Linked DNA regions of Astyanax mexicanus. The protein of the gene in region 2 interacts with the protein of the main gene of each other region in a biochemical or structural test. Links are inferred from orthologs where the notes say so. Each region holds a gene or a part of one and is shown on either strand. Other genes may lie near its edges.

Evidence for each region.
Region 1: the proteins of blnk (region 2) and cd79a form a complex in vitro, tested with the Homo sapiens proteins (2 studies listed by BioGRID). The link is inferred for Astyanax mexicanus from reciprocal best matches to the Homo sapiens genes BLNK and CD79A.

What each region holds. Positions count from the first base shown.
Region 1 is NC_064408.1:109,121,651-109,131,347, forward strand, and holds the start of cd79a (B-cell antigen receptor complex-associated protein alpha chain), read right to left. Parts: upstream 3,684-9,697; 5' UTR 3,503-3,683; coding exon 3,457-3,502; intron 1-3,456. UniProt on the Homo sapiens protein: Required in cooperation with CD79B for initiation of the signal transduction cascade activated by binding of antigen to the B-cell antigen receptor complex (BCR) which leads to internalization of the complex, trafficking to late endosomes and antigen presentation.
Region 2 is NC_064414.1:41,072,799-41,082,864, reverse strand, and holds the start of blnk (B-cell linker protein), read right to left. Parts: upstream 4,055-10,066; 5' UTR 3,994-4,054; coding exon 3,925-3,993; intron 3,499-3,924; coding exon 3,436-3,498; intron 1-3,435. UniProt on the Homo sapiens protein: Functions as a central linker protein, downstream of the B-cell receptor (BCR), bridging the SYK kinase to a multitude of signaling pathways and regulating biological outcomes of B-cell function and development.

The DNA.
Region 1 (9,697 bases), on a different chromosome or scaffold from region 2:
ATAATTACATTTAATCCAAAACCCTTACTATGAGTAAGAGAATGACGTGTTATGTAAATAATCTTGTTTGTGTGAACCCAAGTAGTGAGTTGTTTTTAGATATTGGACCTGAACTGTGTATGTGGGTGAGTGTGCAAAGGACAGTTAGGCTGACACCTCAAAACTGAATGTCCAGTCTGTAGTTTGTAATGCAAAAGTCAGCACCTAAGCAGCAGAGGTGAGGCCAGAGTACAGGTAGAGAACAGTAGTAATCATAGATTGTGTTTTAACTCAATCAGTTAGAAACAGTTGCTGAGGAACCGCTTAACTGACCTTTGCACAGGATGGCTGGATGGGGTTTTGGGTGATACAAGGTCTTGCAAATGTAAGGATCACTGAACTTCTTCTACTGAAACTCTGTCTGAGTGGAAGGGGTTCCCAGAGCTCTGTTGTAATAAATTGCTAATTTGCTGAAGATCTAAGTATCCTGTCTCTCTATCAACTCTACTTCGGGCTTCCATCAAAAGAATCAAGGGGAACGCACTGGAGCAGTTGAGGGTAGTGCTGATTTTCCCAACAGTATGTAGTATTGAAAGCCTCAAGTCTTACCGAATTTAATTGTTTATGACGTTCTTGAAAAAGCATCGAACCTTTAAAGTTCTATGCCTTGTGTAACTTTAATTCACCTGCTTGTATATTGGGTATATATACCCAAGTCTCCCGGAAGTTGAGGGAGTCTACCCCATATCAATAATGGCTCCCTGATAAGCGCAAGTCAGATAAAATCTCCCAGAATCTGAATCAAGTGGCCCAAGAGTGAACACAAACGTGCGTACAGTTGACAGACTTTTTTCCCCAATCACACGTGTGAAAGAGAAGGAGAAAACAGGCTTTTATCATATTTTCTCTCCAATATCTGGGGTGGGTTTCCCGAAAGCTTCGTAACGCTAAGAACTTCGTTAACTCGTACTTAAGATTGATCGTTAATTAAAGAGTGTTTCCCAAACCCGTGCGTAACTAAAGTACTACGTAAACTCTCTCGCAGATTAACGAGTGCTCTCACCCAGTCGTTATTTTTAACGAGCTTCTTTAGGGGATCTCGACTTGCAGTTCAGCACCTTAAACACCAGGGACCGCCAATTTTGAGGAAGAAAAATGATAATTTCCGTGTTTGAAGCAATTATATTACATTACTATTAATCATAATCAATTATATTACTATATAATTATTAATATTAATATATTATATTATATTACTATTAATTATAATCAATTATATTACTATATAATTATTATTATATTATATAATTATTATATTATATTACATTACATTATATTATATTATATTATATTATATTATATTATATTATATTATATTATATTATATTATATTATATTATATTATATTATATTATATTATATTATATTATATTATATTATATTATATTATATTATATTATTTCCCGTGTCTGCGGGTGCTCCGGTTTCCTCCCACAGTCCAAAGAAATTAGTTCAGTCTAATTAGATGTCGGATAAAAATTGCCCCTTAGGTGTGAGTGAATGTGTCTGTGTGTCTGTCTGTGTCTGTCTGCCCTGTGATGGATTGGCATCCTGTCCAGGGTGTATACTGCCTTCAGCCCGATGCCAGCTGGTATAGACTCCAGCCACTCACCCCCTTCCCGCCCCCCCCCCCCCCCCCCCCCCCCCCCCCGCGTCCCTTAACGGATAAAGCGGTTGACGAGTGAGTAAATGAGTGAATAAGTTATATTATATTATATTATATTATATTATATTATAATGCCAACTGTGGCTTGTAGTCTAACTGGGCAATCAAACCCACGAGTAAATTATTTAAATCCAGATTAGCGATGATAGAAGTCTTGACATTAATGCTGCAAGAAATGCAATCAGTCAATTCCTGCAGATGATGCTCACGGTCTAAGCAAAGCTGCAAAGTCACCAAGTTCATCTGGGCAAACTCTGGGGTGTGTCAGCTCGCAAATATCAGTCAAAAGTTGGACACGTCTCATTCCATGTTTTTTTTTTTTTTTTACATTGTCGATTAATATTAAAACCATGAAAACTAATTGACGCAAATGGAATTAGTAGACAAAAAGGTGCATGGCTTTGACAATCCCCTGACATAAACCCAACTGAGATGGTGATTTAGGATGAGCTGGAGCTTCACAGTATAAAGTACAAAACATATTTCTGTTGGTTTAAAATGTAATATATATATATATATATATATATATATATATATATATATATATATATATATATATATATATATATATATATATATATGTGTGTGTGTGTGTGTGTATATATATACACACACAGGAACATATGTATTATTATATTATTTTTATAATACACAAAAATTAGAATAATAATAAATTAATATTACTATCAATATTACTGTTAATAATATTAGTATAATATATATTAATATAATATATATTAACAATAATAGTTTTAAAAATGTAAAAATAAGTTTAATGTTTTAAAATAGATTAGATTTTCGAGTATTTATTTAGTCATATGTATCTTTAGGAGTATAATGTTGTTAATTACAACACATTTCTACGTTTTTAGGGTGTAATAGTGAATAAATACTGCATATTGCAGTGTTGAATCGATATTTGTGGATCGATTGAGCGCGCTGTTTCGGGGGAGGAGTCAACAAAGATGTTCTTTAACCTCGTTCGTTAATTTTCACGTTGCGAAGCTCTTTGGGAAACACTCGCAGAACTGGCTCGTTCTTTACACACGTCATTCGTTAGTTCGTTCGTTATTCGCTAAGATTGATCGTTTTCGGGAAACCCACCCCAGATCTCTTAAAAACAAACTGGATCTAAAAGCACCTTATTACACCTTATAATGCCTTATGCTTTTTAAATAGTCATATATGGGGTCAGTATTTAAGCTAGCCATGCTAGCTTTTTAGCAGGGTGTCATTTCACAGGGGTTATTCAAGCTTTCACATGCAACTAATTTTTTGTCTCCCACATAAACTAATCTAAAATCACTTTAACAATCCACACAGAAGAAGAATTTTTGATTGTGCACATTTTATGGCCTGTAACAGTGAATAAACTGAAATATGACACTGTTCAGAGGCCTGGAACATCTGCTCAGAAGGAGATAAGCTCCACTGAAGCAAGACAGGAACTAGTGTCTCTGAACTGTGGCTGATGAGACCAAGGCAAATAAAACTAAACAGACTAAGCTCAATACAGTTATGTAGTAATACAGTTAAGTAGTAATGTATTGAAGACTCCTCATTAACCCAAGATAACAAAAACAAGCCTTAAAACATTCTTCAGAAGTTGCAGGTACAGCACCTTGTACCTCTTTACATATTGGTAACAATTTAGTTTAGCCAATAATAAAACACTGTAAATTAGCTGAGGCAGTTTTCCAATTAACAGGAAATGTCAATTAAAACCAATAAAATTACTTTTTCATACGTACCTGCCAGGAGACACAGCAGAACCACAATGCTTGCTTCCATCTTCATCTTCTGTACTTCAAACACAGAGTCCAGTAAAACAGTGACTTAAATGCCACTTCCTCGCTGTATAACAAGTCTTTTTTCTGTTCACTCCCACTCATTTGTTTTTTTCCCTTCCCCACCACTCAACTTCTGTCATTTCTCTTTTCTTCTCCTTAATATGGTAATATTTTAGCTTAATATATATTGGGGTTTAATAAATACAAACATATATATTTGTAAATTAACTATTTACATTAATAAGGTGACAAAACTGCACTTATTGAGAATTTTAGCAAGGTATTTTTATTCTATAAACTACAAGACTTGTACTGTACAATCCTGTAATTTTACCTCAGAATACAACATGCTAACTTTCTTAATGGTGGCTCTGTGGAAAAACAATGAACTTTGCTTTGATTGGCCAGTTCATAGAACTGCCTAGTCTAGCCTAACACTGTAACAGTGCCACTATGACATGTTTATTTTCCTTGACTCTTTACAAAGGTAGCTTTAAAGGTGCTGCCATCTTTTTTGGACCGTTTGGAGTCTTCTTGTTGCAGCAATTACCTGGCTTGCCTCTACTGGGTTAGCTTTTAGCCTTGCACCCACCTTACCACCTTGCATACAGACTGACATTCACTGTCAGCATGTCATGTTAGTATTTAGCATTTTTAACCTATAAGGAATTCAATGTTCTCTCAAAGTAGTTGTTGCGTTGAACTTTCCAGAATTTCCCTCTGAAATCAATAAAGTATCTCTTTCTATCTATCTAAAAATGCATTCTCTAGTGCAAAAGGTTTCATGTATGTTGGGGTGCAAATATGAGTCAAGGCTATTTTGGAATATTTTAGCGAGTTTTGGAATTGACTTGTTGCACAGCTGTTTGGCAACACATTTTAAAGTATGTTGCCTCCATGTTGCAAATTTTAATTAGTTAACTATTATATATTATTTCACTATGACCAAATATTCTTTTCCAGGGTGTCTTTTATTAAATAAAAGCTAACTGATAAAGAGCATTTTTAGAGGATTTATTTGGTAACTACTTTTAAATTGATATGTTGCTATGAGGAGTATGAAATCAAAGCATAGATTTACACACATACTTTGCTTTTTATGACTTATGGTATTTCTATTCTAGGGCACTTTATTTCCTTATTTTAAATAATTAATTTTTCTCCATATTTCTTTTTATGTTTTTCCCCATAACCAAGCTGCCAGTTTGCCTGGAATGTCTCAGATAACTGTTAAATGAACACTTAATCATTCACGCGCATACCACAAGTTACAAGACAGAAACCAGTATTGTGTCCCGTGACTTTTGCCATGTCCTATAGAAGGTAAAGGACACTGCACGAACCTACTGTGGATCCACTTGACACCCACTATCAGGCCTAATTGGAACTCTTGCCTTGCTATGAGCACACTGGAAATGTTTACCCTCACTCACAAGATATCACCTCACACAACTGTAGGTGTTCCAAGGGTACAGTTTTGCATTGTCAGTATATGTGAAAGCATATTATAAACACACGCACACATCATAATTTAAAGACAAACTGCTGTTTTAAATCATTTATTTAAAAAAAAAAAAAAAGGGAAATTACAGTAATAATAAAAAAGTACCTCAATTCCATTAAAGTATCTTACATAATAAAATGAAAAGCCCAAATACACAGAATAGTTCTTGCATAATCATTTCTAAAGATTGACAGCAGAGGGATGAGCGACAATTTTACATAATTGTCACAAAGAAAATGTACACAGCATTTATGTGAAAGAAGCAGAAAATGTGGCTAAAACCAATGTGACTCTAAAACTGCATTATATAAAATGTTACAACAAATGCTTTGCTAATTTGTGAAGCTTGTGAGGGCTTAAATTTGGGTGGGGGTGGATACATGGCAGGCAAAACACCCTGCAGATGTGGAACTGAAACATCTGCTGATGATGAAAAAGAGGAAGAGCACCACTAGGTTCACTAGTCAGCCCTTGAGACAGAATAAAGAAAAAAAAAAGAAAAAAATTCAGCATGAGCCACCCTGCATTATAAATAGATTCATACATATCAATAAGAGTGTGTGTGTGTGTGTATATGTGTGTGTTGGTGTGCGTATCTTGGCTAGATAAAAGCATGTTGTGGAGTAAGAAAGAAAGAAACATCACTGAATTCTCTCTTTTTCATCTGAAAAAGTGTAATAGCAAGTCTTTAAGATCCTCTAAGATGCTCGACCTTCCACATATTTATTCTACAGGTCAGGATTTCTTTATATAGTCTAGATCAAGGGAGTTCTTTCTCTCTGACTCCCTCTTACATGAAGGCAATGCATGGTTATTCACTGTAACGCACATTTTCAATTAAATGCTTAAAAAGTTCCCAATCCCCACAACCCATTTTGTTTGCAGTTACTGTAAAACACTTGATAATAAAAGGATGGAGAACTGCACTACAGTATAGATCTGTATTTCAAAAGATTCAGCAACATAATTACACCACAATCCATTTCATCTACTTTGCTAATTACCCTAAGATAACAAGCATATTTGTTGCATGAATGATCCTTTAAAACAAATTCTTTAAATCAGAAAGAGTGGCCATTGCAATGCAAATATACTATATATATATATATTCATATATATAATTTATATTTATATATATATATATATATATATATATATATATATATATATATATATATATATATATATATATATATATATATATATATGGTCATTACAATGACTAGTAACAGTACAGGTGAAACAGCCAGCGATGAGAACAAACTATGAGGCTTGTGTTCTTGTTACAGTTAGACAAGCTTCACTGAAAGGTCACCAAAATCCAACTGTGCTAAAAGGCCATAATAGCACACAGCTCAGCAGATAAACAGTATAGCTAGATTTTAATCACTCCACCAGAGGGCAGTATGGAAAACCTTATGTTTTACATTTTAGACCTAAGATTTTTTTTCTTTATCTGGGTCCTGGGGTAATTTTCTCTTTTATGGGGGTCCTCTGTGATTTTATTCCTGTCCAGAACAACCATCTGTGTTTTTCTGTGTGTTGTAGGATGAATTACTGTTTTTCGCTGAACTCATAAGATAATTTTGAGATGTCTGAGTTTCATCACCTCGCATTTAATAAAATAGCTATTTTCCACTAAAAATCCACCGTAATTACACTTTGGGCGTGCATTTTCCTGAATATCTGCATAAACACAACAGCAAGTGGAAATGGAGGAGCTACTGAACGTAATGTCATGTGACTGAGTAGGCCAAAAAAAAAAAAAAAAAACAACTCACTGATCCTCCTGTTTCTTCAATTGCTGTGCAGATGCAAACGTTTTATCACGGAGTAGAAGTGTGATACTAATCCTTTCTGGATAGGAATTTATACTCACAATATTATAACATCCTCATTGTTTCTACACTCAAAATTAATTCCATCAGCTCCACTGAGCATATAGGAGCACTTTGTAATTCTATAGTTACAGACTTTAGCTCTGTAATCTGATTTTTTGCATTACAGTATTTATTATTCTCCTTTCACCCTGTTCTTCAATGCTAAGGAAACCACAGCACCACCATGAAGCAGATATCCTTCTCAACACTACAGTGATGCTAAGAAAGTATACATAATACTCCTATATGTTTAGAGGAGCTGATCAGAGGGACAATGAATGTAGAAATGTGGAGGTGGTCCTAATATTCTGATATCTGAAGCTCATTTACTTGAAAAGGAATTTCCCTATTTGTACTGTACTGGATCGGTCAATAGGTCAGCTTTATTGGCAAAGACTTGATGGTCCATTTAAGGCAAATTATTAATATAGGACCAAGCAAACAATACTTACTTAAGGCTAATCCTAAATATTACTATCATATAAATCTTTATATATTCTGATTTATAACTCGACCAGCCATAACATTGAAACCACATGCCTAATATTGTATAAATCCCTCTTGTGTTGCTGAAAGAGCCCTGACTGTAAACCCTATAGCCAGCATGTATTATTCAGTAATTTGTCCTTTCTTAGACCCCTTTTCATAGGTTCTATAAGTTTAATTCTTGAAAAAAACTCACAAGACCTTTCTAACGTTTTAGAGATGCTCGGATTCATCTCAAATAGGTTCTTGTCAAAGTGCTTTAGATTCTTACAACTGACCTTTTTTCAGCTTTCAACACATCTTCAGAAACTGACTGTATAGTTCCTCTTCCTTGACATGTGCCAATGTAACTCAATAATCAATGTTACTTCAATGCTCTTTTCCTCTGAGTGGTTTCAATGTTATGGCAGATCAGTCCTTGTTCATATACTGTATAGACTATACTATTCTTCTATATATATCTTTTTATATATATATATTATGTATTCTCACATACATTTGCATTCAGGGTTTGGGAACAGCATGTAAATTAGCCACTGACAATTACAGCCAATATTATGCTTATAAATACTGAATAATTAAGGAATATATCCACCTGATTAAGCTGATTACATCTCTTTGGTCCTGCAAATTTTCAAGACTACCTTTTAAAACTAAACTACAAATCTGAAAACAACGCAATAATTACAATCATAAAAATAGAGAGATACAGAAAGAACGATCATACAGTCGCTGTGTATCTGACCTGACAAAAATGTGTATGTATAAAAAGCATGTAACAAAACCACCCCTTAAACTTTCTGCAACGGTCTCCAAACAAACAGTGCCGCCGACGGAATGTTAGGACCTGAACCCCTGCATGCGCTCTGAGGACATGTGACCTCCAACCACAGTGGATGTGTGTAACTGCTGCACAAAACATCCAATAAAACAACAGCTGTGAGTGTCCGTTATTCTACATGCCTGAAGTCTATTGGAAGCTATAACTGCATTATTTAATATTATATTACTATTACTATAATAATATTAATATCTCGCCATTGTATGGGTATATCAAAGCAAACTTTGGAGGAGTCACCGCTCCAGTTCCACTCCTCCAGTTAACCTACAGTGTCCATCTATTTTCAGTTCCTCATCTCTCCATCAATAAAACCTACTTTCTATTCCTCTTCTTTCTCACTCAAATGCACTCAAAGGCTTTTCTGTAAAGGCAGAGTCTCAAACGGAGTCATGGATCTGAGTAAATATGCACAATAAAGGACTGCTGCAGCACAGTTTACTGATTTCCCTGCTCTAAAAGGCTGTGTTTAGACTGCCACCTCAAATCAACCTCTGATTTTGTGGCCTATCTAGACTTTTTCCCATTTTGAGTTTTGATATTCTGATCAGCCAGAAAACATAAATCAAGTCTGATTTTTGTAACGTAGCACAGGTTCCAAACCGCGTGGTTTTAAACGCGATTACAGTCAGATTTGTATAGATGCATCTTTGTCTGGACGCTCTGTCCCTTCAAACAGGATTTCAATGCATTTTCTTGACAAACAACCTCATCAAATTCAGAGTGACTGATAGGATACAGATGATAACCGGATGTACAAATCTGATCTGATCACTGAATATCAGTGTGAAAAGTAATCTCAACAGATCTAATTTGATAAACAAATCTAATTTGCCAGCAGTCTGAAAGTAGCCTAACAGACCTTCTATTGGCAATTGTGAATCGGCAGGTTGAGTAAGGTGTGCTTGAGCAGGAAAAGCAAAAATCTGTGCAAAATATGTTATTAATTGTTTAAAAGGGATCTAAATTATCAGTAGCAGACATTTTCCATTTATTAAAACAACATAAAACTTGTGGACTTACTTTCACCAGTAGCCAAATGTGGGCTGATATTATAAGAGAGTTTTAAGTTTCTTAAAGAAAATGTGGAAAATGTGCTTAACTGAGCGTTAAAATCAACCTTATACTATCAATTTTATGAATTTCTGTTTCAGCTCGCTTCACGACAATAAAGGTTTGAGCCATGAATTCTGCATTAAACATTAATCACATTCATTTCTTTAAGTAGAGATATCCCTTTGCCTCTACATATTTCACTATATAACTAATATTAAACATAAAAAAAAAATTGATTGGCACAGAGGATGGTCTGCGAGTAAATAAACGTGTATGGGTGAGTGCAAGTGCAGTTAAAAAAAAAAAAAAATTCTCTGTGGGAGTTTAAAATTTGGGGGCATAAATAATATCTGATCCAATCCCCTCCTTTAAAACACATGCATTTACACATAAAAATACACATGCACGAGTACTTCCGACACTTGAAGCCTTTCAGCT
Region 2 (10,066 bases):
TCACACTGTAATGGTGCACCACCAGTTAATTTATGGAAACAGCAGTGTTAGTTTATTCTTTATTCTGTTTATTGTTGAGGTAAAAGCAGGATTTGCCCACTGCAGCTCGTTCGTGTGTGTGTAAGGAGCGGGGGTGTAGGTGTGCTGAGCTAAGAGAAGAATGGACGACTATTGACTGTTGTCAGGGTTTAAATCGATCAGTGGCGCACCTGTGTTTTCCACCACCAAGATAGAAACACTTTAGAAATTTTCTGAACACACCGCACTTCCAGACCACTGTGCCCATCAGTGTAGATGTATTCATAAACTCCTGATGCTATTTTAACAGTGCAGAAGCAAGGCGTGAAAATAGACTGTTGCCGTGCCTTGCTCAGGATGTATAATAGAGCCAATAGCATTTAGAAAAACAAATCCTGACCATATAAAGACATCAGTGACCACATATATACATATATACAATTGCGTACATTGTTGTTTTATTTTATAAACTATGGATTTCTCCCAAATTCCAAATACAAATATTGTCATTTAGAGCATTTATTTGCAGAAAATAAGAAATAACAAAAAAGATGCAGAGCTTTTATATTATAATGTTTTAAGAGTCCAGAAATCAATATTTGGTGGGATAACCCTGCTTTTTAATTACAGTTTTCATGCATCTTGGCATGTTCTCCTCCACCAGTCTTACACACTGCTTTTGGATAACTTTATGTCACTCCTGGTGCAAAAATGTAAGCAGTTCAGCTTGGTTTGATGGCTTGTGGTATTTCTCTTGATTATATTCCAGAGGTTTTTAATTTGGTAAAATCAAAGAAACTCATCATTTTTAAGTGGTCTCTTATTTTTTTTCAGAATTGTATTTTATACATATCCCTTTGTAAAAATCTGAGCGTTTAATGTTTTTCATAATTGTATTCACTACTATTGTCACTTATTTAGTAAATCTTGTTGTTTTATTTTATTGTAATTGTGTTGTTGCTGTTTTTATTGTAATGCTTTGGCAATATTGTTGGCAGTACAGTCATGCCAATAGAGCTTCTTTAAATCTGAATTAAGTCATTTCACCTCATAGACCAAGCACTTCCCTAATTTCACTTTTTGTGTTGTGCTGCATTCTCAGCCTAATTTGCATGTCTGACCAAACCAACTGACCAGTTCACATTTGAATAAATCAGACAGATTTTATGGTAAAGCGTTTATCGCAGGAAAGGGTTATGACAGGGTGTTTTAGTGACTTCATCATAAAAGCCCATGTGTTACACATTTCCTAGCAGAGGAAGTGCCATTATTCTGTCATCTCACTTCCCTAATCACACTCTTTTTTTTACTTTTTCACAACTTTTATCTTTTTTTAATTCTCATCACCTGTAATGATCTATCAGTGACTTCCCTGCTAACGAACACTTTCATCTTTCATAATCCTTTGAACATTAAAGAGACTGAAGTTGAGGTAAGATTAGCTGGTGACAAGATTAATTAGGAATTGGTAGCAGATCTTGTTTTTTTCTGTTGATAAAAAAAAATCAAACTTTGATATTTTATAAAGAAACAAACTGAAAATGAAACATTTAGCTAAACCTCCGTGATCCGTTTCTGTTCTGTTGTGTAATTTTAACCTGCCGAGGCCTGATAAAGGCACTGACTGAATAACAACACAGAGTACAAACAGTGTGTGTACTGTGGGTAAGCTTTATATATTAATCTAAAGGGATTGGGAGCAAGGTATTGCCATTTTTCTAAAATGTAACTACACCCCTTAGGGGAAATGTAGTGCAGGAAAATTGAATTCATCTTACAAAATGTAATGGAGTAGACAAGTGTAGTCAAGTCCTCAGGGACCAGTCAGTCCCCATTTCTACTCTATCATAGTTCCAGCACATCTGTAGCAGAAACTCTGGGTTTTTGTTCATTTGGTTCAGGGAAATGGAAAAGTAGCAAATCCCAATTAGTACTGCATGTCTTATATTGATTGTTAACCACGTTAGCATGCATGATCTTTTGTGAGTGTTCTTTAAATGAAAGTCCAGTCTGGTATTTTACACCGCTGTATTGCTGTTTAATTAAATTAAACTTTATCGGTATTATACTCATACTGGGTTGTACAGTACAAGTTCTCCAGAACAGAGGACAAAAGTGCAAAGATAGACATTAGATGCATAAATACTATTTACGAACAAAAGTCTTCATTTGAAATGTATGTAAACAGAAAATAGATATTTGCATGAATTTGACCATATATATATATATATACTCCTCTTAAAAAGAAAAAGAGATCACTTCAGTTTCTGAATCAGTTTCTCTGATTTTGCTATTTATAGGTATATGTTTGAGTAAAATGAACATTGTTGTTTCATTCTATAAACTACAGACAACATTTCTCCCAAATTACAAATAAAAATATTGTCATTTAGAGCATTTATTTGCAGAAAATGAGAAATGGCTGATATTAACACAACAGATGCAGAGCTTTCAGACCTTCTTAGCATGTTCTCCTCCACCAGTCTTACACTCTGCTTTTGGATAAATTTAGGCCACTCATGGTGCAAAAATTCAAAAATTCATCATGAATGGGCCCCGCACATAAGCCTGCAAGGTAAGAGGCCTTGCGGACGGCCAAAGAAGTGGTGGATGGACCAGATAAGAGAAGACATGTAATACGCATGCGTCGCCCTTGAAAGCGCCCTGCATCGAACAAAATGATGACGAGCATCCAAACACACGGACCCCACCCTCGAGTGGGACTAAATACGAGGAGGAAGAAGAAGAAGATTCGCTGTTACTGGGCTCAAGCCTTTTATCTTAAAAAAATTAAGCTCTCAAATTCAGTGCAGAGCAGCTTCTCTTCACCTGACTCCAAACTGCAGCTCTGATTCAAACACACTTATCAGCTTCCTGCTCTGTCTGATGCTCCAAAATGACAAAAACAACAAAACCAGGGGATTTAATTGCCCAGATGATATTTAAGTGTAGATTATACTGATATTAATCAAGTAAATATGTACTATGTTGTGTTTGGGCACTTGTGGAGACTTGTGAGTGAGTGGGGAGGGGGGGGTGGACAACTCAGATTATTTCAGGTTAGATAGTATAAATCGTATTATTTGATAAGATACGTACACATAGCATGTTAACACTTCTCAGTAAAGGTATATAGGACGGTAATAAACATTTTTTTATTATTAACTGACATTAGTTAACATATTTTTTAATATGTTCATTACAATATAATTTAACTGCTTATGTTTTATATAAATATTGAGTTCATTAAATTGTTACTATTATTAATACTGTCTCAACTAGTGTCAATTAATGCCTAGATGAGACATTCTGTTGTAAGTACAGTACATAACTGTTAAGTAATGTAGTCTTATTGTAAAGTGTTAGAAAGCTTAATTAGCCCCATTTAGCACCATGTAGTCATTTATTTCTTCTTACCAGAAACCAGCGGCCATCAATCTTCATCCTCTGTACTGTTAAAGCACACTCTCGCATCTTGTTCTGTTCGAAAAATATAAATAATATTGCACCTCTGTAACAGTTCTTAAACCACACACACACTCACACACATGCACACACCATATTTAAAATGCAGTTCACGTGTGGTGAAAGCTCGGGCTGTGCTCAATGTGCTTATCTGTTCTCTCATCTGTGAAAGGGAAACAAGCTTGACTTTCTATAACCACTAATTTTGCGTATAGTTAAAGGTCAGGACAGTTGTTAACACACTTAAATAAGAGTATATTATATGGTTAAGTATCTTCTGTTAGTTTATTAAGTGTGTTTTTAGTAAAGGAAAGTACAGTCCCTATGTTATCTGACTGCGTGTTACAGATGTGTCAGATAGAGATTGTGTTGAAAATGCTGCAGAATGTTCAGCACAGTTCCTGAGGAGAAATCCTAAAGACCACTTCTCTGATCTCTTACCTGAGTCAGGAAAAGGGCCACCTGAGCCGGACCCCAGTCCTCAAACTGCTCCCTGGTCGGCAGACTCATCTCAGCCTCGGCTACTCCACTAACGCTGCGTGAACTGCTCTGACAGGAACTGCCGGACAGGAGGTGCTGATTGTAAGTATGCTGCAACCAAGCTTGACATAATGTGGGAAGTGTGGGAAGTTCCTCTTGCCTCTATGCTCGTCTGTCTTTCTGTCCATCTGTCTGTACGTCTACTAAATTCTCTTTCTTTTTCTCTCTCTTTATATCTAGGAGTTTCCAGCTGTTGCATGTAGTGTTGTCCTGACTTGCACAATCCACTGCTTTAGCATTCATTCATGAAGAAAGATGGAGGGTCATCCTCTGGAGGATTATTAGAAACTGTCTGCACAACTTTATTTATTTATTAACAATATGGTTTTATCCTATAAACTATATATAACTACGGATAACCCTGGTTTTTAATCTCAGTTCTCATGCATTTTGGCATGTTCTCCTCCACCAGTCTTACACACTGCTTTTACATAACTTTATGTCACTCCTGGTGCAAAAATTCAAGCAGTCCAGATTGGTTTGTTGGCTTGTGATGATCCCAATTTTTAAGTGGTCTAAAATTTTTTTCCAGAGCTGTATATAAATACACAACAACTAAAATGTGTTAAATTGAATCTCACATGAAATAAAAACTGCCTGCACCACTTTATTTATGTATATAATTTGGTTTTATTCTATAAACTATAACACTGGATAACGCTGTTTTTTAATCACAGTTTTCATGTATCTTGGCATGTTCTCCTCCACCAGTCTTACACCCTGCTTTTAGATAACCTTATGTCATTCCTGGTGCAAAAAGTCAAGCAGTTTAGCTTGGTTTGATGGCTTGTGATCATCCATCTTCCTCTTGATTATATTCCAGATGCTTTCAATTTGGTCATTATTTTTAAGTGGTCTCTATTTTTTTTCCAGAGCTGTATATAAATACACAACAACCAAAATGTGTTTAATTAAAACTCACATTAAAGTAAAATGAATATTTTCATTGGTGAATTTAATGTATAAAACATAACATTTAACAACACAAGAGTTTATATTTTAGACTTTATTTAACATCCTCTTCCTGTATGACGTAATATATAATCATTGTTAACACATTATTTAATCCACACATAAAACAGATCTCTAAAGTGTTCATTTAAGCTAACAATGTTTTTTTTTTTGGTTAGTAGAACATTTTCTGAACATTTTAGTTAACATTCTTTAAACATTTTATCTGTCAAGTATTTTGGATGTTCTTATAACATTTTTAAACGTTCTGGTAACGTTGCTGAAACAACACTGTCAATGTTTTAATTTTAAGCTTTGGCAATGCTACTTTTAGTAAGGTTTCCATCTAGCTTGGAACATTATATGATAAATGTTCTAATAACATTGTGATGCAAACCATTATTTTGGTCACACGTTTTCAGACCTTTTCTAGAAAATAATTTCTCTAACCTTCCTGGAACCTTTTCAAAACCTTGCTAAACAATCTTAGAATTTTCTCTTTAAGCTGTTTTTTTATTTACTTTTGTATTCTATTATTGTCCATTTGTTAACACACACCCTGTTACATTTCCAAAACTATAAAAGACAGTTCCCACGAGAAATACATACAATCAAATGAAAATGCTGAGTAAATGATTAGAAGGTTATGAAAGAAGTTAGTTATTTAAGCCAAGCAAACTTTATTTAGTTTTTTTTTGTTTGTTTAAATATTAAAGAAACATAATGCAAAAAATAATAAATCCTGCACCTACTGTTACTACTGTTTACTATTGTTTTTGTTTTATTCTATAAGCTATGGATAACATTTTTACCTTGATCAGTTTTCATGCATCTTGGCATGTTCTCCTCCAACAGTCTTACACACTGCTTTTGGATAATTTTATGCCACTCCTGGTGAAAAAATTCAAGAAGTTCAGCTTGGTTTGATGGCTTGTGATAATCCATCTTCCTCTTAATTATACTCCAGATGTTTTTAATTTGGTAAAATAAAAGAAACTCATCTTTTTTAAGTGGTCTAATTTTTTTCCCAGAGCTGTATATATACACCACAACTAAGATGTGTTTAAATAAAAATTAATAAACTAAAATAAAATATAAAATAAAGTAATTGATTTATTTAAGGTTGATTTCAAATGGTTAATATATGCACAGAAGTGTACTATGGTAGATTTTTTCCCTTTTAAAGCTCCATACCACCAATATGAGAATGGGAAACGAAAGGCACAGCATGGTATCGGACGCTCGCTCTCTAAACGCTCATTTCACGCTCAGATGCAGAAGTGAGCACATTGAGGTAGAGAGTGGAACACATAGAGCAGAAATATACCTGACTTCTAAGCAAGTCTATATTGGTGCTTTCACTTCTGATCAGGGCTGAGTGACCACAAGAGCTGAGGCATTAAAATGAGCAGCATGCTCTGGGTTACTGTTTAAAAATAAAAATAACTATAGCCACTTCTAAAATCCCCCTGTTGTTTATTTTAACACATATGAGATAAAGGTCAGGGTGTTAAAAGTGATAAAGTAAACTGTGAATTTAATTTCAATTTTAAAAAATTGCCATCGTTTATAGACATTTTAGAATTGTAGACTAAAAAAAACACTAAAACAACACTTCAGAATAAATACTTTCTGTAAAGTACATACTGAAATGACAGACATATAATTAGTAGATAAATAATCAGACAGACTGCCATATCCAGAATTGTTTTTTTTTGTATATTTCATACACACATATCTGGATCATTGGTCATCCCATGACAACAAAAAGATAGACAACTGTAACTACATTACAAGTGTATGTAGTACATTTTACTGCATACAACTTTCCACCAGTGGTTGAACAGTAGCATTAGCATTAGCTGCTATTTCCCTGTGCAGAGGTGAGTATTATCAGCCTGTAGCCTGCTGCCAACCCTGGCTTGCACTGCTAGAGCAGTATTGGCATTAGCTGCTATCTGTGCTAGCTATTTCATTGTTCAAAGGTTAGTATATTGGACTGTTGTTTGTGCGTTGTCTACCGTGTTAAAACAGGGTACGTGGGACGAACTGTTTTAGGTGTTCTAGGTGATATTGCCCTGGCTATTACCCGGAACACTCAGGGTTCGTCAGTGTAGCTCAGGCGGCATTAGTCGCTAACCACTAGCAGTTAGCTGTTAATGCTAAGGCTCCAGCCTTAGTACTTGAAAAATTTGGGAATCTAAGCTCACTGTAAATAAACAGAAGCACTTTACTCACCCAAATAAACAGTTTTCAGGAGAGGAATGTGTGTAGATTAACATCCAGTGCTTGTTTGACAGTTTTGTTTACTTAGCTTAGCTTTACTTAACTTAGTTAGCTACCCGCCACCACCACACAGTGGCGAGACCTGCTGAATTAGAAGTTCCTTATAGTGTCTCTTTAAATGCGCCTTATAATCCAGTGCAATTTATGTATTAAAATAGACCAGAAAAATAGACGTTTGTTGATAGTGTGCCTTATAATCCTGTGCGCCTTATAGCGTGAAAAATATGGTAATCTGTTTCATATAGTTCTATAATTACAGACTGTAGTCCTGTATCTGTTTCTCTGCATATTTTATTATTCTTCTTTCACCCTGTTCTTCAATGCTCAAGACCCCACAGCATCACCCTAGTGCAGGTATCATTTGGATGGTGAATCCTTCTCATCACTGCACTGATACTGACATGGTGGTGGTGTGTTAGTTACTCTGTGTGTTGTGCTGATACAGTACAAGTAGATCAAACACAGCAGTGCTGCTGGAGTTTTTAAACAATGTACCCACTGTGTCACTGTCCACTCTATTATACACTCCTATCTAGCTGCTCCACCTTGTAAATGTAAAGTCAGAGACACTGCCCACAGGATGCTGTTGGCTGGATATTTCTGGTTGGTGGACTATTTTCAGTAAAGCACTGACATTGAGGTGTTTAAAAACTCCAGCAGCACTGCTGTGTCCCATCCACTCATACGAGAACAACACACACTAACACCTCATAAACCACCACCATGTCAGTGTCACTGCAGGGCTGAGAATAATGACCCACCACCCAAAATATCACCTGCTCCGTGGTGGTTCTATGGGGTCCTGTTCATGAAAGAACAAGAGGCTAACAAAAAGTATGCAGAGAAACTTGTTATGGACCTACAAAATGCTGCTATATGGTCAGTGGAGCTGATAAAATTGACAACTATTGCAGAAATAAGGAGATGGTATTTATGTTATAGCCCATCTGTGGCCTTATCTAAGGCTCTAGGACTCCAGGAAACCACAGAGAGAGAGTCATTATCTCCAAATGGAGAGTGCTGAATCTCCCTGAATTACTAAAACTCTTCCAGAAGTGTAGATAAGGAGCCTGGTAGAGTGCGAGCAAGGAAAATGGTCTCCACAGCACAGCTGCAAGCCAAAAAGCACTGCTAATCAAGAGGAACATCAAAGACTTTTCTCTCCATTTGCCAAAACACACCTTAATGACCCCCACCAATCTTTCTGGAATAATTTAGGCTACTGTGGACTGCTGAGCCAAAAGTGAAAGTTTTGGAATAAAGCCATTTTAAGTCAATTTCAGAGATGCAGCAGCAAGAAAGAGGCTTGTGCAAATGCACACAGAGTAGGAAAAAACATAAAAATTTACCAAATGTACAAGTACTATGAATTTACACTGTGGTTTGCTTCTAATTCCGTCATACAGATATGTCTCAGGTTGATAAAGTTCATACATGAGTGTTAAAACTGGGTATTTGAACTGTATTGTGCAAACACATTTTAATGTAATTTACATTTATATGAAAAATGGCACCCCTATTAATCTTAATTATTTTTAGTTCTAAATATTTGGGTGTTTGCAACAGCCATTTCAGTTTGATATATCTAATAACTGATGGACACAGTAATATTTCAGGATTGAAATGATTGTATTAACAGAAAATGTGCAATATGCATTAAACCAAAATTTGACCGGTGCAAAAGTATGGGCACCCTTATCATTTTATTGATTTGAACTTCATAGCCAGGTGTATCCAATCATGAGAAAAGGTATTTAAAGTGGCCAATTGCAAGTTGCTCTCCTATTTGAATCTCCTCTGAAGAGTGGCATCATGGGCTCATCAAAACAACTCTCAAATGATCTAAAAACAAAGATTGTTCAACATAGTTGTTCAGATGAAGGATACAAAAGATTTAACCTGTCAGTTTCCACTGTGAGGAACATAGTAAGGACATGGAAGACCACAGGGACAGTTCTTGTTAAGCCAAGAAAAATATCAGAAAGGCAGAGAAGAAGAATGGTGAGAACAGTCAAGGACAATCCATAGACCACCTCCAAAGAGCTGCAGCATCATCTTGCTGCAGATGGTGTCACTGTGCATCGGTCAACAATACAGAGCACTTTGCACAAGAAGCTGTATGGGAGAGTGATGCGAAAGAAGCCATTTCTGCAAGCAGAGTCGCCTGAGGTATGCAAAAGCAAAAGCACACCTCAGGCGACTCTGTTCGTTATCTAACAACCACCTAGCAACCACTTAGAAACCACTGTGTCACTGATGGACTAAGAATAAGTGACCTGTGGGTAGTGTTATGTGGGCAGCATCCTGTGCTGTGGGACGCAACCTGTGACCGAATGAAGGACTAAAGAATGACCAACACAAACTGTGCAAAAATAGTTTCAGAGCTTCTGTCTAGGTAGGAGTGGAGGAAATAGAGTGGAGGAAAGTGAGTGAACATGTGTTTAAAAACTCTAGCAGCACTGCTGCGCTGAGAATGACCCACCAACCAAATAACACCTGCCCTGTGGTGGTCCAGTGATGTCTTGACCATTAAATAACAGGGTGAAAGGAGTATAGTAAACCATGCAGAGAAACAGATACAGGACTGCAGTCTACTACAGTAATTATACTACAAACTACAGTGTGATCAGTGGAGCTAAAAAAAAAAACTGGATAATTGGTGTAAAAACAGATGATAATGCTATGTATGCTTCATCAGTGTATATTCATTCCCAATAAGTAACTAATAAACTAAATACAATTACAAATAGCACACACAGTGAGGTGAGGTGTAAATGTGACAGAGCAGAGTCAGTTCTCCTGTGCT